Regions from separate parts of the Mus musculus genome. Here all the other regions are reported to be linked to region 1. The links are microRNA targets in miRTarBase. Many come from high-throughput screens and were not tested one by one. Region 1 holds a microRNA gene; each other region holds the end of a gene's coding sequence.

Region 1 (4,066 bases):
CAGGGTTTCATGCTAGAGAAGCAGCCTACCTGGGAGCCCCATGGCCAGCCTCCCTGTGCCCTGTCCAAACCCACTCCACTCCCCATGCTCAGAGTAGAGATGCTCCAAGCCCCAGGCCAGGTCTGCCCTGCTGCCCATTCTTGTTGAGGACAAGTTCAGTGCAGCCAGCTACAATCCCAGATGCCTCCTTTCCCTCCAGTATGCTCGCTTGGCAGAGATTGTGGGCATGCATGACCTTGGTGTTAGCGTTACCCTGGGAGCTCATCAGAGCATCGGTTTCAAAGGCATCTTGCTCTATGGCACAAAGGCCCAGAGAGAAAAATACCTTCCCAGAGTGGCATCTGGTAAGGCAACCTTAAGAGACCCAGGGGTAAGGAGTGTGACACTGCTCACGGTGTTACAAGGAACTGCCTGGGGATGAGGGGGTGCAACTCTGGTGGTCAGGATCCCCAGTGAGCCCGTTCTCTCCCCCACAGGGCAGGCTTTGGCTGCTTTCTGCCTAACAGAGCCCTCGAGTGGATCCGATGTAGCCTCCATCCGAAGCTCAGCCATACCCAGCCCCTGTGGAAAATATTACACTCTCAATGGGAGCAAGATCTGGATCAGGCAATCTTCCGTTTCTCTTCTACCCTTCAGCCCAGTGGCCTGACCCTGCTGCTCTAAACCCTATACTAACCACCTCACTCTTCCACAGTAATGGGGGCCTGGCTGACATTTTCACTGTCTTTGCCAAGACGCCAATTAAAGATGCAGCCACGGGGGCCGTGAAAGAGAAGATCACAGCTTTTGTAGTGGAAAGGAGCTTCGGAGGGGTTACCCAGTGAGTATGGGGCAAAACAGAATCAAGGATGGGGACAGCACTGGGCTCTCAAGAGCAAATAGTCAATACAGGCCACGCTGGGGCTATCTCTGTACAAGAGGCACCCACAGGAGGTGAGCAGTTTTGTTTCCACTGGGGGAACACAGGCTAACAGGCCATAGCTAGATATCCGTAGCCCCTGGGGCACATAGGCAGTGCCCTGTATCCTTTTTATAGTCTGGGGAGTTCTCCCCTGATCATGAGACCCGAAAAGGCCGTTTTCCCCCACAGCAACCTGTTCATACCTCAACTTTCCTGCCCTGCCTTTTCAGTGGGCTCCCTGAAAAGAAGATGGGCATCAAAGCATCTAACACGTCAGAGGTGTACTTTGATGGAGTGAAGGTGCCATCAGAGAATGTGCTAGGAGAGGTGGGAGATGGCTTCAAGGTTGCTGTCAACATCCTCAACAACGGAAGATTCGGGATGGCTGCAACCCTCGCAGGCACCATGAAATCCCTCATTGCCAAGGCGGTGAGTCCCAGCCCAGTCCCTAGCTAGCACATGTCCCTGACTGCCTCAGAGCGCCGACACACACACATGCACACTCGACCATCGGCACAGTTAGGCCTCCAGCCCGTCCAGGTGGAAACTGAAGAACCACAGTGGGGTAACATGCGCCCTCTTGCAGGTTGATCATGCTACTAATCGTACCCAGTTTGGGGACAAAATTCACAACTTTGGGGTGATCCAGGAAAAGCTGGCTCGGATGGCTATTCTGCAGTATGTGACTGAGGTAAGGGCCTCCTGGGCCCCTTCCCTGGAGCCCTATGGCTTTCTTCACAGTTGGGTCAGACTACAACCCCCAGCAGCACCTGGGGCAGTGGGTCTCCAGCTTTACACCAATGCCCTAGGGGATGCGAGGAGGCATAGTCAGTTCTCTTCTGGAGGGTGGTGCTGCTCTGCTAAATGCTGCCCAGATGCACCAAACACGACTTTTAACCCACCCCTTTACAAAGTCGGAAGCCTCGAAGCCCCTGATATACCAGAGGGTCACATATTGGACATATTTGACCTGACCAGGAGGCTAAAGTGAATTCAAGGGTTGGAGGAGTAGATCAGCACTGGTCTTGAAGGTCTGAGCATTAGCCATTCTGTCTGATGCAGCCCTTCCCTGTTGTCTTCCCCATGTCCCGACCATGCTCCCTTAGTCCATGGCTTACATGCTGAGTGCCAACATGGACCAGGGATTCAAAGACTTCCAGATAGAAGCCGCCATCAGCAAAATCTTTTGCTCGGTGAGGACCCAGGTGTGATGGGAGGGCGGAGTCCAGATTAGGACCTCAGCTCAAAAATCCAACTCATCTGGTTCTCTGTCCTCAGGAGGCGGCCTGGAAAGTGGCAGATGAGTGCATCCAAATAATGGGGGGCATGGGCTTCATGAAGGTACAGAGTATTCCTCGGCAGGGGGGGGCATCTGTTCAGAGTGGACAGGCACATCTCAACAGAGGTTTCTGTGTCTTCCTGCGTGCCAGGAACCAGGGGTGGAGCGTGTGCTCCGAGATATTCGAATCTTCCGGATCTTTGAAGGGGCAAATGACATTCTTCGACTGTTTGTGGCTCTGCAAGGCTGTATGGTAAGAGGAAGGAGGATGAGAGAGAGCAGCTGGGGAGGACACTGAGTCCTCACTGTCGCCGTCCCCCTTCTCTCCACAGGACAAAGGAAAGGAACTCACTGGGCTGGGCAATGCCCTGAAGAATCCTTTTGGAAACGTTGGCCTCCTGATGGGAGAAGCAGGCAAACAGCTGAGACGGTACCTCATGGGCCGGGGCCAGGGTCAGAGTCAGGGTCAAACAAGATGGGAGGCCGCAACTGACCAGTCACTCTTCCATCTCCTCTCAGGAGGACAGGAATCGGCAGTGGTTTGAGTCTGTCAGGGATTGTCCACCCAGAGTTAAGTCGCAGTGGTGAACTGGTGAGTGAGCCTTAAAGCAGAGCCTGCGGTGGCTGTGCGCTGCCTTCCTCTCCTGAGCTCTGTCTGTGACTCTTGTCTCTTCAGGCAGTGCAGGCTCTGGATCAATTTGCCACCGTGGTGGAGGCCAAGCTGGTGAAACACAAGAAAGGGATTGTCAGTGAGTGAGCTCTGCAACCCCCTTCCCTCCCTGATTCCCTCCCTCCGACTAACAGCCCCACCCTCATCTACCTGACAGACGAGCAGTTCCTGCTGCAGCGACTGGCGGACGGCGCCATTGACCTCTATGCCATGGTGGTGGTTCTGTCCAGGTAAGGCGGCAGCGAGGGACGCTTGGCAGGCTAGAGCCACAGAGGAGCTGGGCCAACACCAGCACTCAGGATCATTTTAACCTCTGTTTCCTCACAGAGCCTCAAGGTCCCTGAGTGAGGGCTACCCGACGGCACAGCATGAGAAAATGCTCTGTGATAGCTGGTGCATTGAGGTGAGCCTTGGAGCTCCCCAGTACAGGTGGGCCTTGGAGCTCCCCAGTACAGGACGGCCTGACCGTCCCTCCCCTTCCCTCTCCCCAGGCTGCAACTCGGATCCGAGAAAACATGGCCAGTCTGCAGTCCAGCCCTCAGCATCAGGAGCTCTTCCGGAACTTCAGAAGCATCTCCAAGGCCATGGTGGAGAATGGTGGCCTGGTCACCGGTAACCCCCTGGGAATCTGAGACTCCCAATCAGGCCCTGGCAAGGTCATGTGCCTTCTCTGATGCCAAAACCCTTTATGGGGGTGATGGAGTACTTATTGCCTTAACAATAAATTTTCTACCAAGTCACTGTCTGCCGTGAATGTCACTGCTCCCTCCTCTCCACTGCCTGCCTCGCAAAGAAAGGAGCCAGAGGCTTGGGGAGTTGGCCTCTATTTGCTTTATTTGGTGTTTTGTACAAGTGACTAAAATAAATAGAGTAACAAAGGCAGCTACACAGTCCCCAACACACCACCAGCCTCCTTGGACTGCTGTCTGGGGTACCCAGCCCACACCTTCTTCTTCCCAGGGTACCACTGACCACCACCCACCCTCAACATGAGAGCTGACTAGGCACCTGGAGGTGGCGGTCATATTCTGGGGTTAGAAGGGATTCTCCATATAAAAGAGGAACTGTCTATTTAAAAAAATACTCCCCCAAATATAAGAAAGTCTATTTTAACCCCCCAAAAAGCTTATAAAAAATAAAGCTAAAAATAACCAAAGGTCCCCATCTACCCCCGAGGAAGAGGGGGAAGGACCAGGCACTGCTGGTGAGAGTCACA
Region 2 (4,066 bases), not on the chromosome of region 1:
CTGAATGATTGCCGATATGCTTTGTACGATGCCACGTACGAAACAAAAGAGTCTAAGAAAGAAGACCTAGTATTTATATTCTGGTGTGTAAAAACAAAAGAAAAAAAGTACTTCTAAAAGTGCAAGGATTATTATTATCAGAGTCAGTTTTTGCCTTTGTTTTTCTTTTGAAATTCAACATTTTCTCCCCCGTAGGGCTCCTGAAAGTGCACCGTTAAAAAGCAAGATGATTTATGCTAGCTCTAAAGATGCCATTAAAAAGAAATTTACAGGTACCAACATCGACTGTTCTGTACAAAAAAAAAAAATTTTTTTTTTTACTCTTTCTTAGTTATAAGGTTAATGAGGTGTGTTTTTCTTTTCCGTTTTAGGTATTAAACATGAGTGGCAAGTAAATGGCTTGGACGATATTAAGGACCGCTCGACGCTGGGAGAGAAACTGGGGGGCAGTGTTGTAGTTTCCCTTGAAGGAAAGCCACTATAAAATAATAGCCAAGTGCCATTTGATCTTAAGGGGCTTACACGTATCTCTCCAGCTCAGTCCACTGGAATTGTATTAGGTTTTGTTTTTTTTTGTTTATTCCCTTTTCACTGGTCCCGTTCGTGAATGAGTGAATATAAGAAGCCTGTCAGTATTGCCATGAGACTGTTTCATATGGTTACTTTTCTGTATTCCCAAGGAATGCCTTCCTGTCTTATTTTAGCCAAAACAAACTGGTTCCATGCCTTCCTTGCAGTGAACGTTACAATGGATGTGGTTGTCAATGTGAATAGCTTAGAGTACTACAAAGGGTAAGCTAACTGAATGCCTTGAAAATATTATCCACTGGTCGGTCATATGGGAGACTTGTTTCAGTATTATTTATAGTTGCACTTGATTACCGTTCTCTGAGGCACTGGAGCCTTCATACACCTCACCTGCCTTGGCAAGCCTATTTTTGTGACCTGGCAGCACAGATTTAACACTATTCGTTAAAAGCACTTTTTTTTTAATGCGTTTAATCCCTTATAAAGAATGCCAATTAAGTTTTATTACCTGTCATCAATTTATCCTAGTATCTCAGTGTTCATTCTTCTTGCCTTCATATTTTTTTCAAAGAAACAGCTGTGCTAATGTCTTTGGTTTCCCGATGAGTGTACACTACTGTATAATTTATGTTTACCATATGAGTCTTGAAACACTACAGATATTTTGAATATCAGTCATGATGGCAATTTCTGTATAAAAGAGCCTTAAATGGAACATTGTTTTGAGATCAAACTCCCTACCCTCACAAAAGTGGCCACGTTGCAATAAAAATTGTGGCAGATTACAGAATGTTGCCTTGTTTTCCTTGGAAATTTTGCAAATTGTTATGTGAAATTTTAGGGTAACGGTGATTAAGCTCTGCACTGGTATTTGGAATTTTTTTTCCTTTAATCTTTGGTTTAAAAACATCTTAAAATCACTTATATACAATCATTAAAAGAGTGGTAATTTTATAAATGCTTATTTATGTTATAAAATGGAGATCAGAAAAAAATTCTTTTTGCACTTTGGCCTATCCAGTATCTTATTTATTCTCTAGATAAGCTAGGATATTAATCCAGAGTTACATTACTGAGAATTGAGTAGTATAAGTAGGATGTTTTTATTACTTGGTCATAATGAAAATAATTTGTAAAATGTCATTCGAAGGTTAATGATGATTGTGATGTTTAGGAATGTTTGTCTCAGCCACAGTTCCTTCATAGCTTTTCCAAAATGAATTGGGAAAAAAAAATCGTATAGCAGTCTTAAAGCTTAGTAATGGAACTTGGCTGTGGCCCAGAGCTTTCTCCTTATAGAGAATTTGATCTGCTCCGTGTGCGCTCTCTGCTATTAGCCGGAGCTATTTATGGCAAACACATGCTTTTGTATCTTGTCATAGTCATCCACAGATGGCAAAACTGGACTTGATTCTACTGGCATGTAAGACAGGCGTGCTAGTGAGCAGTCGTGTGTGGCTCTGGACTCTGACCCCAGAGCTCTGAAGAATGCTCTTATCAGAAGATAGGAAATGAAAATATCCTTTTTTAAAATATGTGGAAGTAATTTGGGTATAATTAGTTTTTTTCTACCTTTTGGAAAGTTGTTTTTTTGTTGTTTTTTTTTTTTTCCCAGATGAGAACATTAACATAGTGGTTAAATGTCTAGGCTTCCATTTAAAACTACACAAATGACTTGGGATCTTTTTAGCACTAAGGAATTTGATTTCAGCCTTCCAGCTGTTGCTGTGAGTTGTTCCAGACCTTTCTGTGGCTTTTTGGTAAGGCTGCTTAGAAGCATGAGAAGCATGAGAATGGTAATGTGTGCTAAACCTATGTTTAACCAATCTTTGCACCAAAGGACTTTTTCACCAATTTATTTTGTTATTCTTCCAAATATTAAGTGATTTCTAAAAGGTAAAGGGTGACCTTTTGTTTTTATATCTAATTTCTCAATTTCTTTATATGCATTTTTAGAATAATTTGAGAGATTAAATGCTGCTTGAAACTATTATACTTTGAGTTTTAGATTGGCCAAATACATTAATGTAGTTAAATTCATCTTTAAAGTACACATATGTGCCTAGAGCCAAAAAATAATAATGATTTAATTTATGACCTTATGTTGAGACTAATTTCACATCTTATTTTGCAGTCATTTACAGTGAAACAATGTTCCAGCTAGCTTTAAAAGCTATACGGTGCTAATTAGTAAAATATTGAGGGCAATATTTTACTGCTAGCTTGCAAAATTATAAGTGTTTTAAAAATAAAATACATGAAAATATTTAAAGCTGTTGAGATGTGTTTACTTGCATTTAAAACAGTGAAAGCCGAGAAACTTAGGTTGTGGATTAGAGAGGCAGCGTTATCTGCACGTTATCCTTTTCAGGATTTAGGAAATATGCTTTCTTTTAGAAATCCTGTTTCAGGCCCGAGAGATGGCTTAATAGATAAAGACTGGATGGAAGCCTGGCTACCTGAGCACAGTTCCCACTTAACAGAGGTGTTCACACCTTTAATCCCAGCACTTGGGAGGCAGAGGCAGGCAGATTTCTGAGTTCGAGGCCAGCCTGGTCTACAGAGTGAGTTCCAGGACAGCCAGGGCTACACAGAGAAACCCTGTCTCGAAAAACAAACAAAAAAAGGTGTTATTTGTTTCATGTGTATATGTGTCTGCATATATATGTGTGTGCCATGTATGTGCCTGGTATCCAGGGAAACCAAAAGAGGGCACATGAGTAATAGGTGGCTTTGAGTCACAGTATAGTGCTGGGAACTGAATCCAGGTCCCCTGCAAGAGCACCAAATGCTCTGAACAGATAAGCCATCTCACCACTTGCCTTTAATAGTTACATAGATTTTTTTTTAAAGTCATAAAAAGCCTGGTGTGGTGACACACACCTGTAATCCCAGCACTTAGGAAACTAAGGCGGGGAGTAGGCTGGTTTATTGAAGATCACTGGTTCTATTTTTATAACAGTTCCACTTGATCTCATAGTTTAAGTACTAATTAGCTGATAGAGAACATCTTCTTTTAGAAGTATATCATACAGAGTGCTAGGGGTGACTCAACTAAGTGCTTGCTTGCTTGCTAGGCACCGTGTAGAAGCCAGGCATACCTGTATGAACCGGAATCCTAGTGCTAGGTAGGTTGAGACAGGCCAGCCTAGGGAGATCTGGATGTTCCAGTTTCAGTCAGAAACCCTGTCTCAAAAACAAAGGGAAAGGAGAAGCAGTTGAACTGGATTTTGACCTCTGGCCTCCACAGTCATGTACATAAACACAAATACAGAATATAGTTAGTGTCCATAACTTTATACCATGTTGGGTGTGTTGATGTGTGAGTAGTGAGAGCTGGCCTCAAACTTCCAAGTAACTTTGAAGTAAAATAAAGGCATATTACCCATAGTGTTGAAATCTATAACTTCATGATTGTTATTCTTAAGACAAAGATGGCACATAGCTCAGGCTAACCTCAAACTCAGTATATGCAGAAAGGTGTCCTTGAACGCCTGGTCCTCTGGCCCCCACCTCATAAGTGCTAGAATTACAGGCA
Region 3 (4,066 bases), not on the chromosome of region 1:
TTGTGTAGTTTTTGTTAAGATGCCATTGCCAATTTTACTTATCAGCAATCTAATGGATGTCTAGTACTCCATTCTGAGGACATGCCTAACTTTTACCAGACTTTACCTGGTACAAGTGTAAGGACTCATTCCTTCCTTCACTTTGTCCCTCCCTCGTTATGGCTTTCTGTTTTGCAGTATTGCTGGAAGCCTGGTGTACTCTTACATCACTTTCACGGAAGAGCAGCTGAGCAAGCAGTCAGAGGCCAGTAACAAGCTGGACACGAAGGGAAAAGGAGCAGTGTGACCTCCGCAGCCCGGAAGACACTGGAGCCTCCTGATTGCGGGGAGTCAATGTTCCTTTGCAATTATACAACCCTGGGATTGACTGCTGCCTTTGGAAATTTATTGACTGTATGCTAACTGTGTTTGAATTAATTTATATCAGACTGGAAAATGTACTGGGTGGGTTTTAATTTATTTTTTTCCTCTGACAGTGAAGCATCAGTGTTTTGAAATCCTTTACTCTATAGCTTGCTATCTGGGTGGCCCTGGCAGTGTATACAATGTGTTCCAGCTAGAGCTGCCTTCCAGTGGGCTGTCTCTGGAAACTAGCTGGAAATGCAGCTGAGGATCTGAAATTTCTTTTTTCTTTTCTTTTCTTTTCTTTCTTTTCTTTTCTTTTCTTTCTTTTCTTTTCTTTTCTTTTCTTTCTTTCTTTCTTTCTTTCTTTCTTTCTTTCTTCTTCTTCCTCCTCCTCCTCCTTCTTCTTCTCCTCCTCCTCTTCCTCCTTCTCTTCCTCCTCCTTCTCTTCCTCCTCCTTCTCTTCCTCCTCTTTCTCCTCCTCCTTCTCCTTCTTTCTCCTTCTGCTTCTTTCTCTTCCTCTTCCTCCTCTTCTATTTTGTTCTTCCTTCCATTTCCTTCCCCCACCTTTTTAATTGCACTGTCTTCATAGTATCACATTTGCCAAAGGTGGCAGCTTTGGCACTAAAAGCCCTGAGAAGTGTTTTGCTTTCCTAGACTGTGGGGTGAGCAGAGTGTGCCTGGGAATGTCTGCTTCCTCTTTGTTCAGCTGGAGACAAGCAAGGGTGGAAGAAGCCAGCCATTCACTCACTCGTTCAGCTGGAGTGCAGTGAAAGTCCCTCGCAGGCACTGTGCTGAGTGCTGGAATACAGAGATCCATTGGTAATGGTCCTGCTCTAGACTGAATGGAAAATGGAAAACGTGGTTCTCTGTCCAACTGGAAAAATCCGAGACTGTGCACCAGTTACTTCAGCTCTTTGGACCTGCAGGTCTATGAGATTAGAAGCCCCTGCTCTGCCTACCCCACGCCATGAGTCCAGAGCCCACAAGAGACTGAACAGCTATATTTTGTACACCAGCATAGCAGTGGCTCAGCCTAACCCTTTTCTTAAAGGGACAATCAAGGCAGCTGCCACCCCGTCCCCATGCCTTCATCATGTGGATGTAGTTGCTGCTCTTTGTATCCCTGTTTGCAGGTCCTCATTTCCACACAAAGGCCTACATTTCTGAACTGATTGGTGTGAGGGAAGAGCTAGGTGGGCATCTTTCCATTATTGGAACTTGGTCTTTTCTTGGAAGGATCTAAGTCCCTCTCCCTGAAGTGATGTGAGGTCAGCTCTCACCTACAGATACGTCTACCTGATGAGCATCTCAGAATGGATATATCTCCTTTCCTCATTCTGAGAGAGCCTGTGTGAGTGGACATTGACTGAACTGCCTTAGGGAGGAGTGATTGCCAGAGCTGGGTGGCATGGCTCTGAAGCATCGCTGGCTTTGGAGGGGCTTGCTTGGGCCAGCATGATTGCTAGGGAAGGAGCTTGCTTCTGCTTCCTTGGTGCTTAGCTGACTGCAGGTCTGGAGCTTGTATTTTTTTGTGTCTCAGTGGGGAATAGGAGAGTTTTGATTTTTTCCCCCCCCTCTATTTGAAAATTTTCATCTTTAGGCTCTATCTTGCATATAAATTTTGTAAGAAGGACATTTGTTAAGTTTTCTGTGATCTTGTATCAGAAATATGTGGGAGGTTTTGGTCAGTAATGCCAAGACAGGCTCTCCATGGAGTGTTAGTGGGTCACAGGGCCACTGAGGGCTTTAGGTCTGGCCTTTGCTTTCCATATTGAGGGCTCTTAGTGACCAGCACATTGTTAACCACATGGACAGATAGAGGGGGCAGAGCCTGGAACTCTCAAGTGTAGTCCTCAGCCAGAGTCGGACCTTAGTTGAAAGGACACAAATGAAAGAAGAAAAAAAAGGAAAAGAAAAGAGTCAGCGATTTGTAAGTAAGACCTACCTGCACTGATTTTAGGCCCACCCCAAAAGAACAAGGCTTCCATTCAGAGGCCATGGTCCTCATATTTTCTTCTAGCTCAGATGAGCCACACAGCTCTTAGAACTGTCTTCCCCGAGTCCTTCTCTGGCAATGATGCTCTTTCTTCCCACGTCTGTGCCATGCTGCTTTCTCCCACAGGCTATAATGGAACTTTCCTTCCCTGGGGAAAAAATACTGAGAATGAGTGCAGTGGATACTGAATATGGAACCCAGTGCACACAGCGCTCAGCAGACACAGGTCTGCCATCCTTCCTTCAGTGCCAGCAGCATAGGGCACCATGTTTTCCAAGACTCATGAAACTGCTTCTTGCCTTCAGATGCTTAGGCAACAGACTCTGTCCCTTATCTTTTTGAAAATACAAAACAAAAATAGTCTCTGTATAATTATAGCCACTGTTATTCTGCTTTTTAAAAAGAGAATTATTTTCATATTATGGTGGCAAATATGAAAAAGGGAAATCTGTTTTCTGTCTCAGTGGGAGTCCGTTGCATTTCAGTATGGTAGCTCAGTGAAGACTCAGCTGTCACCCTGAGGTAGCTCCCAGGCCTTCATCCCTCACCTCAGAGCGAAACACTGGATCCAGCCCCTTTGTCACCATCACTTTTCTAGGCCTGCCTTCTGCTCCTGCTGTTCGCAGTTCACCTGTAGGATGCAGAGACTCTCTAGTGTCTTGTTTTTAACTTTTACGTTGAATATATTTTTAAAAAAGAAATCTACTGGTTAGATTTTATCTTCTCACAGAATGTTTTTAGAGATTATTTTGTTCACAGATGTTTCCTTTCTCATGCTGACGAGCGACCTTTGCCTACAGGTGTTCGCCTCTCACACGTCTTTTCAATATAGACTCTATTTACCAATTTACTTAGTGTTTTTAAGAGGTACTGAGCATTGAGGTATGTAAATCAGGTGACATAAACATGGAAAATGATGTGCCTAACTATTTTTTTAATGATGTCAAATAAATACTTTTTCTGGAAAATGTGTGTTAGAATTCCTTCCTCCTGTGTCGTGAGCATTGAGAGATAAGGATCTGTTCACTTAAGAAGGTGACATGCAGGTGCCTACAGTCCAGGGTTGGGGACACCACTCAATATTAGTGCTTTGCAAACCTGCCATAGAACCTGCGACTACGTAGGCTGTGTCTTTGACGTGCCCATGATGAGCCTCGAGGAGAGAAGTGCTACTCTCTTTTTAGGATGTTTGACCAGCTCAACAAGCACTCTCTGGCCCACTAGCTGTCCTGGGTAATAACCCCCAATAGTAGGCACTTAGCAGGAGAGCCACTCTGGTACTCAACTGAGACAGGAGCACATTAACGTATTCTTTAAGAAGTTACCAAGTACACAGCGCAGAGTATGTCCACCTTGCTGTGCACTGGCCTTCCATTACTAAACCGATGCTATAGGCCTTGGCCAGAAGCCTCCGTTTCCCTGTCCTCCTGTCCCCGATGGTTGCATCTTTGTTTCTATGGGTTTGACTACAAGTGGGATGGTGCGGTATGTCTTTTGGGGACTGGTGTAATTCATGTAGCATGTCCCCAGGGTTCCTCTCTGGACTACACATCAGGCCTTCTGTGAAAGCCTGCGCTGCTCTGGTGTGTACACAGCACAGCTCATTGATGGACACGTGGGTGGCTTTGGTTCATGTTGCTGTGAGCATGGTTCTGCGTGTCTTGTCAAGACTCTTATTTTCGGTCATTTTGAATAAGGAAAAACTTCATTGAAGGATTTTATATT
Region 4 (4,058 bases), not on the chromosome of region 1:
CAAGAGAAAGACAGGCAAACAGTTTTTTTTTTTTTTTTTCCTAAGCTTGAGTTATGCTCTTCTCAAATACCATACAGGTGGTTCTTCAAAAAAAAAAAAATTCACAAATCAATTGATAGTAAAAATATAGTTGGCTAATTTTTTTTTTTTGTCATGCTAGGAATCACAAAGTTTAAAAAAAAATGGCAACTCACCTTAAAAAAGGTTTCAGTGTGCCATCTGACTCCCATCACCTGAGCAAAAAACTATGAAATTGAGACCCTATTTCAAGAACAAAATATTCCATAAAGCTTGTAGATAAAAACAAACGTGTTTTATTATATATATATGGGTATTTTGCCTGTATATATATGTCTATGTACCATCGGTATGCCTGAGGCCCTTGATGGAGAGAAGAGGGGACCATATTCCCTTGATGGTTTTGAGTCTCTATGTAGATGCTGGAATTGAACCTGGGTTCTCTGGAAAAGCAGCCAATGCTCTTAACCCATGAGCCATCTCTACAGTCCCAACGGGAGCTGAGCAGGAACACTCATTGCTCTCTTGTCTTCTTGAGACAGGGTCTCATTATGTAGCCATGGCTGGCCTGGAACTCATATTGTTCTGCCTCTGTCTCCTGAATGCTGGGATCAAGGGTGTGTGTCACCACGTCCAGCCTCCTTTTAAGGTTTTAAAATTTATTAATATCATGTATTTAGCATGTATTTGTGCATGCATATACAGACACGTTTATGACATGGTGTGTATTCTGGAGGTCAGAGGCCTGGAAGAGTCAGTCCTTTCTTTCTACCTTCATCTGGGTGCCAGGGATCAAACTCAGTTTGTCAGGCCTGTGTGTTGAGTGCTTTACCCGCTGAGACATCTCCTTGGTCCACTAACAGTTTTTAATACATAGGGAATTAGAGGAAATCTTAAGTGAGTGAATGGTCACTCCAGGAATTGTTTAAGAGGAAATTAGCCATTTGAACTTTTTTTTTGTTTTTTTGAGACAGGGTTTCTCTGTATAGCCCTGGCTGTCCTGGAACTCACTCTGTAGACCAGGCTGGCCTCGAACTCAGAAATCCTCCTGCCTCTGCCTCCCGAGTGCTGGGATTAAAGGCGTGCACTACCACTGCCTGGCCCACTTGAACTTTCTTTCCCACTCATCTTTTTTTCCCCACAGAACACACAAAAGACGGGAGTCTGGAAACAGGGAGTGTGGAGGCAAGAGGATCAGGAGTTAAAGATCACTTTTAGCTACACAGCAAGTTCAACGTCAGCCTGTGCTATATGAGATCTTGTCCCAAAACAAATAGAAGTCAGGGAATGGAGACTCGGTTCAGCAGTTAAGAGCATTTGTTCTTAGGCAGGACTTGAATTCAGTTCCCAGAAACCCTATTAGGAAGCTCGCAACTACTTGTAACTTCAGTCCCAGGGGATTGGATACCCTCTTCTGGCCTCCACAGGTGCCAGGCATGCATGTGATACACACAACACACACACAACACACAACACACACACACACACACACACACACACACACACACACACACACACACACACGAGTGCGCGCACGCAGGTACTCATGAAAAAATTTAAAACGTGTGTTTATATAAATAAAGCCATGGGGCTGGAGAGATGGCTTGGAGGCTAAGAGCACTGTCTGCTCTTCCAGCAACCACATGGGAGCTCATAACTGTCTGTATTCCAGTTCCAGGAGACCTGACACCCACAGAGACATACATGCAGGCAAAACACCAATGCACATAACAGTAAATAATAAAATTTAAAAAGCTGATGAAGCTAAGACGTAGGTGGGATAGGCAGTTTATTGTGGCTTGGTTGTAGGAGGACAAACAACCCCTCAACATGTACAACTGCTTTGATATTATTGTTGCTTTTCAGGAGACCACAGTATAATGTCTTAGGTCTGCAGTCTTTTCTCTGTTAACCTGGTCAATGGTCCACCTATTTTACAATTCAAGTTAGAAGATAGTCAGGGAAATCTGGTAATGACATCCTAAATCGAGGGCTGCAAGACTTCCAACCCAGTTGTGTAAAGTGCTTATGTTCAGTGCAAACATACACAGCCTTGAGTGTAAGCAGACCTCAGGCAATGGGGGTTCCTGTGAGCTGTGGTGTGTTCTATGCGTCAGGAAGGAAAGGCACTGTCAGACCTCAGCCTTAAGTGAGCTAGGTTTCTGCTTCAGCCTTTCTTCTCTATTAGGACCAAAGCCTGGAATCTGACAGATGTCCATTAACAGCTGTTAATTAAGAAAATCTTGGTTCAGAAGAAACGAAGAGGGTTTCTAAGCACCAGAGACACTGACTTCAGTTTCCAGTTCCTGTTGCCTTGGCAGCAAAGGGGAGACAATAGGCTGAGCTCTGGCTGGTGGGAGACTTGGGGCCACAGGCCTTTCTTTAGGGCTCTCATTTGCAAATCAGTCACTAAAATGCAGACCCTCTCTCTCAGCACCAGCTCACCTTAGGTATCCACCCTGTGTCCCTGAGGAGACCAGACAGGGAGCACGAGAGATGGAGAAATGGTTTCTTAACTAATTCAAGAGGTACAAACGGGAATGGAATGCAAACAGGTAGAGACTAGCATTCACTCAGTCCCAATGATCCTGGCTACCATTTCTCTCCCCAGCCTCTGAAAGAAAAAGCCATGTGTCCTTACACATCAATCCTGCAGCAGGGATACTGGCAAGAGCCAGCTTTGTGCTCAGAGAGGTCTGCCTTTTCCTTCCTTCTGAATGAATGTGAAGGGGCCTGGCCTCACCTTCCCAGATCTGACTTTATACCACTGCCAGAGCTTTCAGATGTCTGCACTTGAAAACCTTGTGCTTGCGAGAGGTGTGACGGGGAAGGCTGCCATCTTCCACAGCCATGCTTCTAACATTCTCTCTGAATTTTGGGCAGAAGCAACCTTTTTGGCATTGCTCTGTAATTCTGTTGACCCCTCCTGTTAGGAGGACCATGTATGTCTGCATAGAGGGGAAACTGTGCACGAACAGGCCGACCTAGGACAAGAACCAAACATACCGAAGGTCTTCAGACCAGCACAAAGCAGGAAGTAAAGCGCCTCTCTTCAATGGAGGAGTCTCATTTGTTCAGAAAATGCTTGGGCGTAAACACAAGTGCACAGGAGCATGCACACGGATGTGCACACATGCGCACGCACAGTCACTCTGAGGTAGAAAGAAGTGGCTATCTCCAGACAAACACAGAGTCTACAATTTTACATGGCACTTGTGTGAAAGGACCTATTCCTGCCCACTCAGGCAAGAACGGTCCAACTTGCTCACTCCGACCTGGGTCAGGCGCATAAAGTCCCACTCCACAGGAAGACGGAGAGGGAGGGCATTGTGTGGTATTGTGCCTGTCGCCATAGTTCCCAGGCTATGGTTTCCAGGTTCTGCAGCCCAGGGTCACTTCCTGGAGCCTGAGCCATGGGCACCTCGAGAGTGGCTTGTCAGAAGCCACTGAGCACAGATGTCCTGCACTACAGAATCCCCACTGCTTTTGGCAGCCTGCTGCACCTGCTGGACGAGGGCGGCGGCCTGCGAGTGTTCTTGCTTCACAGCAATCAGGTAGGCAGAACGTAGCTTGCAACATGTCAGATAGGCCCGAACCTAGGGATTGGGGATGAGACATTTGGAAAGAAGTGACTGCCAAGGGAAATCAGCGAGCACAGAGAGTATCAGAAAGCACAGGCAGACGAATGGTATTCTCGCTCACCTATTATTCTTTCACAACAACCTCAAGTGTTCTAGGCACCAGGCTAGTGCATGGTTCTGTGTTCGAAGGTAAAGAGCCATCACAGGTAAAGTAAGATTTAGAAAGTAAGGTAGGCAGAATCTGGCCTCTGTCTATTCTCCCAACTTCTTTTTAGAATCAGAACCAGTACTGCCAGTATCCACGGGCTGTGATTTTATAGTTATTTGGAGCTTAGGTGATATCCTTGACTAGAATCCAAGGTTTGAGAGCAGGAACAGTGTTTGCCTTTCCTGCCCCTTGTATTCTTGGTGTGGAGCTGGCAGTCAGTGTTCAGTTAATGAGCCTTACATGGGCGACTG
Region 5 (4,066 bases), not on the chromosome of region 1:
TCTACTCCATCTACACCTGCCCTCTCACCCTCTTGAGGTCTTTGTTGGCTCCTTCCTCATAGCCTGTCTTTGTACTGCTCTAGCAGTCTATCTGTAGACACACTGGAGATGCAGCCTTCCCTGGAGTGAGATCTGCTCTGTGGAGCTGGGGGGGGGGGGAGGGTGTGACTCTCCTACAAAGAGGGTGGGAAGCACTAAGCAGGTGACCCCTTGAGAGCCAGCTGGGCTCCTGTACCTGCATGCCCTTGGGGATGGTGATATGGGTTGGTTCTGAGCACACGGGAAGTAAGAAACAAGGCTCTTCTGTCTGTTCATTCCCAGGGGATGTCTTCCAGAAGCCCTATGTGTCTGGGGAGGCCGATGCAGCATCCAGAGAGCTAACGGGCTCAGAGGACTACCTGTTGCTTGCTTGTGATGGTTTCTTCGATGTTGTCCCCCACCATGAAGTCACGGGTCTCGTCCATGGCCACTTGCTCAGGCACAAGGGCAATGGGATGCGTATTGCTGAGGAGCTGGTGGCTGTGGCCCGTGACCGGGGCTCCCATGACAACATTACAGTCATGGTGGTCTTCCTTAGGGAGCCCCTGGAGCTGCTAGAGGGTGGAGTCCAGGGGACAGGGGATGCCCAGGCAGATGTAGGAAGCCAGGACTTGTCCACTGGCCTCTCAGAACTTGAGATCAGTAATACCTCACAGAGAAGCTAAGTGGTCCAGGCCTCCAGGCCCCATCCGGACTCTCCCTCTGCCCTCGTGATCCTCCCCTTCAAAGACCTTAGATCCAAAAGGTATAGTGGGCAGGGGTGCACACTCTCACAGCATTCCCTTAGCACCCCAGCCCTTCATGTTGCCTACCACAGCCTGTCCTCATGGCTGCAGAACTGCAGTAGGCAGCTAGTGGATCTCAGAAGGAAACATAGGAAAATGGCCTCACCGAAGAGCAGATGGCTGAGGTGATCAGGGCCGGACAGGTCTGGGAACAGAAACCACAGGCACCTGCTGGTAGCCTAACCAAAAACACAGGTCAGGTCTTGGAGGACCCTCACACAGATCCTGGAATGAGATCTGCAGCCAGGTGTCCAGCCCAGGCTTGTGGCTTCTCATTGTACCCAAGGCTGGGAGGGTTTGGTCTGTACTAACACACAAGCTCGCAGTCCTGCTTGACTGCTGGCTTCCCAAAGAGGAGACATTGGTCTTGCTGGGAGGCACAGCAGGAGAGTGACCCACTGCCACTGCACTCTAACTGAGTACTAAGGCCACTAGGGCTTTCTAGACCTCGCTTTCCCCTTGAGCTTCCTGGGGAGGTGAAGTGAGGTGTGTGTGTGTGTGTGTGTCTTTGTGTGCTTAGATTTATTGCAGGGAAAGGTCTAATCCAGAATCAGTATTCAGGCTTTGTCATGTTGTATCAGTGCCAAGGTGACCCTCAAGGTCATGTAACTTAAGCAAAGCTTAGCATTTATTTTATTCCTGAAAACTTAAGTATTTTACTTTTTTGTGTGTTCGTGGAGACATTTGCAGTATTAATGATTTTATTTTTCCTAAATCGGGATGGAAACAAACTTTTCCAGGTTATGTTAATAAGCCACTTAAGTGCCTTAAACAGCTTTGGTGTAGATGAGAATTGCTGGGTCCGTCATGGATCCTGATAGGCAGACGTGTTGAGGTTCTCAAAGAGGCTGCATTTGTTGTGGGAAGGCACACTTTCAGCCAGCACTCTTTCTGGGAAAGTCCTTTTGTGCGTCTGGGCACCTCAGAACTTCCTTGAAGTGATGGGTAAAGGCTGTGACTATGGGCACCTGGGGTGACACTGGCCTCCTTGTCCACCTTGGAGTCTGGCTGGTTCCCAGCTGAGAGAACCTTACTGCTCTTGGCTAGAAGATTGACACACTCAATCTCTCTTGAAACTCTCTTAAGTGTGTTTGCAGTTATGTTGATTGAGTTGTTGAAGACAGTGCTTAGGTGAGGAACTTGGGCAAGCCCAGCAGTCCACCATCTTTCTCCTGTGACTTGTGTCCTAACCTGCTAGACTCTGTCCTGACCTGAGCAGCATGAAAGACCTCCACATCCCTAGAGCAGTGATGGATACAGTCAGGCAAGGAAACCAAGTGAGGGTTGGGGGGGATACCAAGAATAGAAGGACTAGGAGGCCCTCAACAAGGGCCAAGCGAGTCAAGGCTGCTCTCTGCAGACACTGGCAGGTCCAGAGAATAATGGTGGCTTAGCAGAGGCTCAGGGAAGGATCAGTAGGAAGAAGGGTGGCTGTGAGGTAGGTCCCCATGAAGGAGACATAGTTCACCTGTAGAGTGAAAGCCCTAGCAAGACTTGCAGAGCTTTGTTCATTGCACCTAAGCCCTCTTTGAAAAGAAGCAAGGGAGCTCATACTTATTCCTCTGAGGCAAGTTCACTTCCAGCAGTAGGAGAGCGAGCCAGCCAAATGCAGCTGGGCACCCACCTGTATGCTTGCCATTTACCCATTCCCACAGCAGGGATGGAAGAGCTGGGGCCATGTAGTTGATTCCTTGATCAAGTCTCCTGATAGGAACGTGATCACTCAGATGGCTGCCCACCTAATAGCTAGGTATTGCTTAACTTGAAGGCCTGCTGCCTTCCGGGGGGGGGGGGGGTGTCAGAATCCAGCATCCTCAGTGCCATCTCAACACAGGGTGTGGTTGTTGGTCCAGCCTGCCTGTAGCAGTGACCTTCATAGAGGGAGATAAATTGATTTTGGTTTTCTCCCATTTTTGCTAACCTGATCATTGCTGGTAAGAGTGGAATTTGGGCCTCCTTGGTGGTCTGGATTCATACTCGCATGTAAAGATGTGCCAAATATCAAGGCCTCAGTGTAAAGGGAAGCCCCTTTCCCAGGCTTGTCTGAGTGCCTCCCCCACCCTTCCCCCTGTCTGGCAATGGTCTGGGACCAACATCAGGCACTGCTCCATCCTGATCTAGTGGCCAAGGAAGACCACATTCTCCTACTGTTGAGGGCTGGCCTTGAGCGAGTTCCTAGGTACAGAGAACTCTTTTTGTCTGGACTGGAGTTGCCAGTACCAAGCCTACAAGACTTGTTGGCCACCTCCTCCTCAGAGTCTCTTCCCAAAAGAATCCCCTAGCCAGGATAATGGGTGGCTTAGTAGAGGCTCAGGGAAGGAACAGGGAGAAGGGTGGCTGTGAGCTCAAGTCCCCCTCTTTGCCACCATCACATTGTGTGAGCGGAACCAGTCACTGCACCTCTCAGGCCTCAGGGAAAGGCATGGAGGGCATGCATAGCATTACCAGGAGCTGCCAGAGCACGGGAGCCCATCCTCCACCAGCAGCAGAGAGGGGTTAAGTATTATTAGTGTCTATTCTTAAAATTAAGTGGGCTGGAACAGAGCTGAGTTACAGGCGCCAGTGTCTTACACAGATACAAAAGCTGAAGCCGTCAGCCTGCCTTTGCAGGTACAGCTGCCTCCCAACCAAGGCCTGGAGGCGTTAAGAGGTGGGAGGGCACAAGCAGGCTTTCAGGAGTGTTGAAGCAAGGGATCTGCAGCATAGCTTTGGGCGTCTCCAGAACTCATGGTGAGGGAGGCACCAACACCTAGAGGTCTTAAAAGCCCTGCATTCACCATGATCTGTCTGCCCCTGCCCTTTTGGGTTCTTCTGCATGCAGTGCCCCCCTCTCCTGATGCTAAGTTTTGGCATGGGTGTCCTGGCTACCTCAACTGTATTCTCAAGGCCAGGAGGATGGCTCTGGCCATACTTACGGAAGCCAGGCCAATTTGTGTGAAGCAAGCTGGGCTTCTGGTTTGATTCAGCTTCTGTAGCCTCCAGGGACCATCCTCTGGAGTCTTGTGCTTTCACTGGACTCTTCAGCTTCACCAAACACACCAAGCTTTGCCATTTACATGCCATGTGGGCCTTGCCAAGGGTTATTTCAGGGGTCTTCCTGGGAGTCTTGTTCTAAGACACCGTGTTTCTTTAGTCTTAGGGACAACTCCCAAGGTGATGAGCTCATAGGACGTCTTCCCATGGGGCCCTGTACTGGTGTCAATAAACCATATATTCAAGATTCCTGAGTGCCACTTGGATCT
Region 6 (4,066 bases), not on the chromosome of region 1:
AGCTTTGGTGTACATAAAAATTTGTACAATTTGAATGAAAACATAAGAATCAGAGCCAGGTGGTGACGGGAGCCTTTATAGTCTCAGTACTCAGTAGGCAGATCTGAGTTTGAGGTCAGCCTGTTTATAGAGTGAGTTCCAGGACAGCCAAGATACACAGAGAAGTCTTGTCTCAATGAAAGAATGAAAGGGGGAGGGGGGCCTGGGAGGGAGAGGGAGAGAGAGAAAAGAAAAAAGGAAAGTAAAAGAATGTACTTCAGGACGTCGTCTATTTAGGGGCTGAATCCTTATCTAGATTTTGGAAACTCACATCTGAAAATGGTTTGAAGAATAAGAATTCTGCAATATCAAAGCAATATTTTTATCACAGATTTTGAAAATAAAAACCCACCAGCAGGTTTACTTTACTGTTGCCTTTACTGGAAATACTGATAAACAGCAGCTCTATCTTCTGATTTTATGATTAGTCTTCAAAGGACAATGTGGTGATTTAATATTCTAAAAGCAGTTGTACTTAAATTTTTACTAAAGTTTGGTTCTTAAAAGATACTGTGTCAGTCAGTGGTGGTGCACACCTTTAATTCCAGCACTTGGCAGAGGCAGAGGCAGAGGCAGAGGCAGAGGCAGAGGCAGAGGCAGAGGCAGAGCAGGTGGATTTCTGAGTTCGAGGCCAGCCTGGTCTACAGAGTGAGCTCCAGGACAGCCAGGGCTACACAGAGAAACCCTGTCTCAAAAATATTGTTAGCTCAATGGTTTCACCCAGATGAAATTATAAATACAGCATTTTAATATACTGATTAAAAATATGTTAAATGTAGTACTGGAAAAATGTATCCAGCATGCTAATTACAATGCAATATTCATTTCTATTGCTATAGTGATGTTAGTGATTCAGTATACATTACAAATTAGAAGCATGTAATGTTCTAATGAAAGGATGAAAATTTTCTGTTGTTTTCTTTTTGAGTCAGGGTCTAACTTTCTAAGCCTGGCTGGTATGAACTTGCTACATAGATCAGGCTGTCCTTGAACCTATAGAAATCACCGCCTGGTGCCCAAGTGATGGGATTATAGGCTTGTATCACCACCATACTAGGCTTAGGAATACATTATTTATTGTATACTCCTGCCACAAAATAAGAAGGGAGAAGAGTAAATGTTGCAGACTTTGTTTTACAATCTTATGGCTAGAAAAATTAAAGGAGAACGCATATATCTATAAACACCTGTCAACACATGACACTATTTCCATCTGAAAGAATCCAGAAAATAAGTCTGTACTAGCAGACATGTAGTACGTTGTAGATGAGTCCCACTTGTGGTTCTTCCTCCAACAGACAAAGCCAACTGATATGACCATTTCATTAAGCAGGAAGAAGACTGTGTGTGTGTGCTGCGAGGTAAAGCTGCTTCTTTCATTGCCCAGAGCATAAAAAATGGAGCATGCCATCTTATTCAATGTCAACAAGCATATTTAGGAATAAGAATTCTGTTAAAACAATAGTATTGCTTTTTACTATACTCAATTTTTATTGATATTTACTTGAACTTTGATTTTTTTTTAAAAAGATACTGTTTAGTCAATAATCTGATCCATAGTATTTGATATTGTGCAACTAAAAAATTATAAAGTATAGCTGGGCGTGGTGGCGCACGCCTTTAATCCCAGCACTCGGGAGGCAGAGGCAGGCGGATTTCTGAGTTTGAGGCTAGCCTGGTCTACAAAGTGAGTTCCAGGACAGCCAGAGCTATACAGAGAAACCCTGTCTTAAAACAAAAACAAACAAAAAAAAATTATAAAGTATGTTAGGTCTTATTTTGAATATTTTCTCTTCAAACTGGAAATCTATACTGTTATACAAATCAATCATTCTATTTCTCTTTGAGAAGTAAACTATGCACACCACATTCTTTGAGATCACAAACTGAATTTATTAAGTGGATACTGAAAGAAATATGCAATCAGGAACTACAGAATTTCTTTGTGCACGTGAGAAGTTAATGAATTTAAAAGGATCAGACTCAAACCCTTAGTCTCACTAGCATCACACTCCAACCAAACCACATCAACCTGCCCAAATGGTTCAATAAGACAGTGAAAACTGCAGGCTAAGAAGAAAGAAAGGCTGTAGTTCCCAGCTGAAGGCTTCAGGGGAATGGAGGTTCATGACACCCCCACGTTCTGAAGAATGACTTCTTACATACCTCACCTCGAAATCACAAAACTGTAGTCATTTGGATGTGACTCTAATCTGAGGATATAATAATCAATTACTACAACGGATATTCATTCTGTGGTGTACATAGATATCTGGAATAATAGCTATACAAAACAGAATTCAGTTAAAAAATAACACTGGAGGGCAGGGGGGCTGGGGGTCTCAGTAGTCACTGCTTTAAGTTTTAAAATGTACATTGGAATATGAAGAGGAAGTCAATTTATCTTTTCTGGAAGCTTGCAAGCCTTACTAAAGAAAGATGATGAATGGGCCAGCAGGAGTGGTAGCTAACTGCAATTCCAACTAAGACAGGTACGATTCAAACTGTTATGACTTCCTAGAATTGAGTACACTGATACTTCAAATGGCCATATTAAAAAAAAAACAAAACAAAACACAAAAACGCTTGCATATGGTTTGCTGGAATTTCCTACTAACCATTAGAGGAGGTAGTGATGCACTGTGTTGGAACTTAAAGTACAATGTCAGCATTAACTGTAAACAATTCTGAAACATTGTGTGGAACTTTTCAGAACACATTTAGTGTCAAGGAATTAATCAGATTTCATATAAAATTAGAATTAAAAAAGCAAAAAATAGAAATATTTAGTAAATTTACTCAAAGGAAGTTTAAATGTTACAGAAATGAAAAATATTAGAACTCTATATACAATAAAAAGTGAATATAAATTAGCCAACTCCATGGACATTTCCAGTTAAACATTCATACAAATACATATTCACCTTTTTTCTTTATATAAGAATAACACATACATACAAACATAACATGAAGTTTCTGACAAAAAGAATCAGAGATGCTAAAAATTTCTCAAGTTTAAAAAAATGGTGTCGAATATATTTCAACAACATTCTACATGAATGTAAACCCCTGATTTAATTCCATGATTTTATCATGCCAGAGCATGGTTGCTTTTAATTTTTTTAAAAAAGATATTGGTATTATAACATATTGGCTTATCAATAATTAAGGCATTTGTACACAGTATCAGTGTGGACAAAAATTTTTAATATTACTTACTATGATGTTTTAAACTTTCCAAGTCTTTCCAACAGAAGAAATTAGCTGCACACACTTAAGTGTTTCTTCATAAAACACAATAAAAAATTTAATGATTGGTCTTTATAGTTCCTGGTAATAAGTCCTGTCTTATTTTTGCATACTATCAATCATATTCTTATGCAGGGCCGAGTGAAGACCCAGTAGTTCTTAAACAACGCTATCAAACAGTCATTTGAATTCTGAATGCAGCAAAGGCAAACAGTCTTCATAGTGCACTTTCACCTCATTGAAGTTGATGCCGCTCCTTCTTGATATTTCCACTTCAATGTGAAGTAGATTGTTAGGATTTCATTAGTGGTTTTATTATGTGGCTTTTTAAAAGAAAAAAATTGGTTTTATTTCTTCCACAGCTCTCGGTTCTCAGGAGAGACCTCCTTTTGGAAATCATAGAATCCAGCGCTGTCTGAATACTCAAATCTTTATAAGATGAAATCTTTCAATGCAGCTGTAATAAATAAGCATCTACATCCTTAAAGGAGAAAAAACATCCCATCAGTTAATCAAGCAAATACAAACGCACTCAACCTGCCTTCTTTTCTGCTTGTTTCTTAATTTGCCTTACTTCCCTTTGAAACCTTTAAAAAGAAGGAAGAAGTCTTATTCAAAAATTTTATATGCATTTGTTTATCACAGGTCCTGGCACATGCTATATGTTCAATAACGTTGAGCAAACACTAAGTGAATGTTTTGGTTCCTGTGTTTCAACAACTCTGCTTTGCAGTTAAAATGCAGAGATTCTGTAAGTGCTATAGAAACCAAAGCCCAA
Region 7 (4,055 bases), not on the chromosome of region 1:
GAAATAGTGAAAACAAATCGATGACTAGAGTCAAAAACACTTGTTTAAAAATTCTAACTCACAGGGCAGTGGTGGCGCATGCCTTTAATCCCAGCACTTGGGAGGCTGAGGCAGGCAGATTTGTGAGCTCGAGGCCAGCCTGGTCTACAGAGTGAGTTCCAGGACAGCCAGGGCTATACAGAGAAACCCTGTCTCGAAAAAACAAAATAAATAAATAAATAAATCTAACTCAGTCCATGCTGATTTAACTGAGGGTGTTGACTTGATGTTTAGAGAACAATCAGACTAATAATTCTGTAACTGTATGGTAAAATCAAGTTGCTCTAAAGAAACTAATAGCATAGGTTCGGAGCTCTTTTTTTATTTTAGCCCCTACAAGCAGAATAACTGGGAGGGCCAAGTACTCTGTAACTGTGGAGCATCTAACATGGTTTTAAAGGGGTTGCTATTTTCTCTCTTCAGATGTGCTAGTTGGCTCCATGATTGGAATGACATTTGCCTATGTCTGCTACAGGCAGTACTACCCCCCTCTGACTGACGTAGAGTGCCATAAACCATTTCAGGACAAGCACAAACTTCCGTCCTCACAGAAGCCCAGTGAGTTGCACCATTTGGAAATTTAGCTGAATCTACCTCAGTGGAGAACAAGCAGATCAACCCTCCTAACTGGACAGGACGCACAAGCCAAGGATTTCTGGCTTGACCTCTTCAGGGTCTAAGTGAGGACACAGCCACACTGTACTTGCCTCCGCAAGGCTGTGCACTTTACCCCACTTCCAAGGCTAGCCCCTGAGGTCTCAGTGCTTGGCCTGGCACGGCTCTGTCAGGACTTCTCTCACTAGGTTAATCCATAGGATTGCTATTCTAAGACCTAGTGTCTACAGTGATTAAATGTCACTCCAGAGGAAACCTTTCCACAAAGGAAGCTTTCATGACCCCATTTACCGAACATAATCCCTGTCCTTTATAAATAAGGGCAGTGCCAGCTAAACTCTGATTCGGCTTGCTTTTTGTGGTAACATTCCATTAAGCCTTAAATAATAAAACATTCAATTTTGGCCAATTTTTTACTTTTTACTACATTAGGAAAGAAAAATTAGGGATATTATCTAGAAAATAAATGCAACACTTTCTGCCTTTGTTCATAAAGAAATAAATGGCGCAACTAGAGGCTATCACCAGAACTTGGTATGGAGGACCAACTGATAGCTACCATTTTATTGTTATTATACTTTAAATAAAAGTCTCTCTTATGTATTTCTTCCTATAACATACTGTGTGTGTGTGAGTGAACTCAAGCGACCCACCTGCCTCTGCCTCCAGAGTGCTAGGACTAAAAGCACGCTCCAGCATTGCCCAGCTCTGACATAGTCTTAAACGTGTTCTCAGTGTACTTCGTTTTCTCAGAAAGTCTGGCAGTGAAACACAAGAGTGTGCCTGAGGGTTTGTACTTCATAAGAACCGTTCAGGTCTAGATTAAGACTGGCTTCCCATCTGGTGTATGTAACTAACTGCTGGTATCAGTTGTATTAGCTAATATTGCAGATGCTGAAGGACAGGCTCTGTTTCAATTCTGAGCTATAGTGTCCATGAGAATGTAAACATCCATCAAGGGAAAAGAGCTTACCATCAGTTAGTTGCCTAAAACTTTTTGTTTTGAATTTAGTAACATGTAAGAGAAAATGCCTACTATATTGATTTTCTTGATGATAGATAAGGCCACATGAATGTAGGCAAATGGTCAATAGTTTTATTTCGGCATTTACTAACGTCTTAAATATAATCACATATAAAACAAACATTTCAAAAGTGCAAAATATCAGCAAGGTTATCAGAGCTACTCATCGTCCCTTGCAGACAGTCTCCCACCAACTGTGCTGCCAGAATCACAGACAGAATCACAGACAGAATGCTGTCACCCTGGAGTTTAGAAACAGCCTTGGTCAGGAGATTGTGCATGATAACAGACGACGCAGTGCAGGTCCACACCCAGGTCCCTTGCCACCACACTGCCTTGTATAACACTCAGCGTGGTCACGTGTAAGTACCGGACTGCGGGAAGAAGCCTTTCTCAGTGCAGGGGTTTATCTAGCTCTCCAGGGCCAAGCTGCCCATCTTTGGTCACAAGAACGCACTCTTGGTTGTACTTTGGTTTACTCTTAAGTAGTAATGACTCTGCTAACAAGAGTAAACAAACCTCAAGACAGCAATTGACAAAACTTACTTTTTAGTATTTAATGAATATACTACTTAATTCTCAGGTATTCTTACTCAAGACATATTGTAGAAAAAATAAAGTATTCCATATACCTGGAACTCCTTAGTAGCTTGCTCATCCAGTATTACCCATGAGCAGGAAGGCAGGCTGGGCCTGACGTACCATGCTTGCCTCTCTAACGTCCAGGGCACAGTGCTTCCCTCCCTTTGCCTGTCTGTAGAGGGCACTGCCATCTGAGGGTTTCAGGGCATGTTATGTGCAGTGCCTCTGGATACCATGATAGGTTTACAAAACAAGGAAAAAAACCAAAACACAGCTCACCTCTCCTGCCACTCTATAGAGACCTGTGGAAATCAGAGGAGCTAAAGGGCAATCGTGAGGAGGACAAAGATGACGGCACATGCTAAGGAAGGGAACACTTAGTGTACAGTCACCCTTCCTCACGATCAATGTGCCTTGAGTTATCCAGATTCAGCTCCTCAGACCCTGTAGACAGGGTTTTCCTTCAGAAGGTAGCCTAGCTTGCATGCTCAAATCCATGACTGCCAACTGTAATAAACAATTTGATGGTACCTCAGAAAGCAGTGACGCAGCCGGGCGTGGTGGCGCACGCCTTTGATCCCAGCACTCGGGAGGCAGAGGCAGAGGCAGGCGGATTTCTGAGGCCAGCCTGGTCTACAGAGTGAGTTCCAGGACAACCAGGGCTACACAGAGAAACCCTGTGTCAAAAAAAAAAAAAAAAAAAAATGTGACATTTATGTCACATACTTCCTTTACTCAAGTGGAAGGAGCAGGTGACTTAAATCGGTGCTACTAAAAGACTGCATTTACAACATGAACAGCAGGGAAGGGCCATGTAATTTCAGGTTGACCTTCAAAATAAGTATTACCTAGTAATGTCCTCAACTTCACCGCTGGCTTGGAATACGGTGTAAAAGAGCAGGCACACAGTTAATACAACCTTCAGGGTTGCAGAAGCTGAAGCAGTTGTAAGGACCAGGACCAGGACCAGCACCAGTGGTTCTACAATCCACTCACGTAACAGTGTTCAGAGCAAACTGTGCTATTAGTAAGCTTCTGTCTGATCTTCATATAATCCAGGAAAGAAAAGCTGGCTCAAAAGCCAGCAGCTCTCCCAAATGCAGTGATGCTCAGCCCTCCAGCACAGAGAACACACAGAGGGACGGGACCCCTAAGTACCTCTACATCTTATACTCCCACCCGTAGTGTTGGTAAGGATAAGGAGTAACCCCCCCCAAGCCCCCTAAACAGATATTCATTCCCATGTAAGAAACAAGGAAGTGCTGCTGTTAAAGCATTGGGATATGTAAACGCCCTAGCCACAAAACCTGCTGAGCGTCCATACAGAACAGTGAGTGCCCCTCCGCTTTCCAGTAGTCTCCAAAGAGGGTTCTCTTGGGAAGATCCCATGGAGTAAGGCAGGCAGCATGCAGGACACAAGGTAGCTGAGAAGGAAGCTGCAGCAGCAAGCGTGTGGGTTTTCAGGACAGTCTCCCTCAGTGTCCATCTATGGGAGAGGGGGGGAAAAGGTCACCCAGGGGAACCAGCCACCAGAGAATGCCACTGTCTAATACAGACTTTCCAGGTTCCTGTCTGGAGGCTGGGTGTGGTAACTTGGGATCCCCAGCACAAGGTAAGATGTACACCAATCCTTTTCTGAGTGGGCTACTGGACACTTCCTGTGAATTTTAACCAGTGTCCTCGAAGTGAGTTTTTCTTGAGGTTCCAATGTTCCTTATAACGTGTAAACACTTCACTGCATTGAAAACTTACATTAAGCAGCCACAGATGGGTCATGTTTACTGTAAAGGCTGAT

The links. Region 1 holds the annotated microRNA mmu-miR-324-3p (CCACUGCCCCAGGUGCUGCU, at 1,664-1,683, opposite strand). A microRNA usually pairs through its seed, bases 2 to 8, with sites in the 3' UTR of a target mRNA and lowers its output. Matches are read on the target gene's strand: a 7mer-m8 pairs with bases 2 to 8, a 7mer-A1 pairs with bases 2 to 7 and ends in A, and an 8mer does both.
Region 2: miRTarBase lists Cfl2 as a target of mmu-miR-324-3p. Seed matches in the 3' UTR shown: 7mer-A1 at 734-740.
Region 3: miRTarBase lists Slc35d1 as a target of mmu-miR-324-3p. Seed matches in the 3' UTR shown: 7mer-m8 at 533-539 and 7mer-A1 at 1,109-1,115.
Region 4: miRTarBase lists Zfyve26 as a target of mmu-miR-324-3p. Seed matches in the 3' UTR shown: 7mer-m8 at 2,784-2,790.
Region 5: the mRNA of Ppm1f is a reported target of mmu-miR-324-3p. Seed matches in the 3' UTR shown: 7mer-A1 at 2,069-2,075 and 7mer-A1 at 2,688-2,694.
Region 6: miRTarBase lists Katnbl1 as a target of mmu-miR-324-3p. Seed matches in the 3' UTR shown: 7mer-A1 at 2,389-2,395.
Region 7: the mRNA of Plpp5 is a reported target of mmu-miR-324-3p. Seed matches in the 3' UTR shown: 7mer-m8 at 976-982.

Annotation. Positions count from the first base shown.
Region 1 is chr11:70,009,712-70,013,777 of GRCm38, reverse strand. It overlaps Mir324 (microRNA 324), which reads right to left and starts at 1,735; the gene lies at 1,647-1,735. It overlaps Dvl2 (dishevelled segment polarity protein 2), which reads right to left. Exons shown (of 15, transcript NM_007888.4): 15 at 3,669-4,066. It overlaps Acadvl (acyl-Coenzyme A dehydrogenase, very long chain), which reads left to right. Exons shown (of 20, transcript NM_017366.3): 7 at 200-344; 8 at 477-606; 9 at 695-820; 10 at 1,132-1,330; 11 at 1,488-1,592; 12 at 2,008-2,094; 13 at 2,180-2,242; 14 at 2,332-2,433; 15 at 2,513-2,610; 16 at 2,700-2,772; 17 at 2,857-2,929; 18 at 3,008-3,080; 19 at 3,178-3,253; 20 at 3,342-3,595. The coding sequence ends at 3,482.
Region 2 is chr12:54,857,543-54,861,608 of GRCm38, reverse strand. It overlaps Cfl2 (cofilin 2, muscle), which reads left to right. Exons shown (of 4, transcript NM_007688.2): 2 at 1-83; 3 at 196-272; 4 at 372-2,792. The coding sequence ends at 484. Among named protein-coding and RNA genes, the nearest start is that of Cfl2, 3.3 kb to the left of the region's middle.
Region 3 is chr4:103,169,892-103,173,957 of GRCm38, reverse strand. Slc35d1 (solute carrier family 35 (UDP-glucuronic acid/UDP-N-acetylgalactosamine dual transporter), member D1) reads left to right here. Exons shown (of 12, transcript NM_001356276.1): 12 at 178-3,309. The coding sequence ends at 286. Among named protein-coding and RNA genes, the nearest start is that of Gm46864, 43 kb to the left of the region's middle.
Region 4 is chr12:79,230,556-79,234,613 of GRCm38, forward strand. It overlaps Zfyve26 (zinc finger, FYVE domain containing 26), which reads right to left. Exons shown (of 42, transcript NM_001008550.1): 42 at 1,792-3,614. The coding sequence ends at 3,411. Among named protein-coding and RNA genes, the nearest start is that of Rdh12, 24 kb to the left of the region's middle.
Region 5 is chr16:16,923,319-16,927,384 of GRCm38, forward strand. Ppm1f (protein phosphatase 1F (PP2C domain containing)) reads left to right here. Exons shown (of 8, transcript NM_176833.4): 8 at 322-4,057. The coding sequence ends at 704. Among named protein-coding and RNA genes, the nearest start is that of Ppm1f, 29 kb to the left of the region's middle.
Region 6 is chr2:112,412,086-112,416,151 of GRCm38, reverse strand. Katnbl1 (katanin p80 subunit B like 1) reads right to left here. Exons shown (of 10, transcript NM_024254.3): 10 at 1,915-3,769. The coding sequence ends at 3,737. Among named protein-coding and RNA genes, the nearest start is that of Katnbl1, 35 kb to the right of the region's middle.
Region 7 is chr8:25,723,618-25,727,672 of GRCm38, forward strand. Plpp5 (phospholipid phosphatase 5) reads left to right here. Exons shown (of 7, transcript NM_028000.1): 7 at 463-1,270. The coding sequence ends at 623. It overlaps Ddhd2 (DDHD domain containing 2), which reads right to left. Exons shown (of 18, transcript NM_028102.1): 17 at 4,013-4,055; 18 at 1,707-3,746. The coding sequence ends at 4,039. Among named protein-coding and RNA genes, the nearest start is that of Plpp5, 5.6 kb to the left of the region's middle.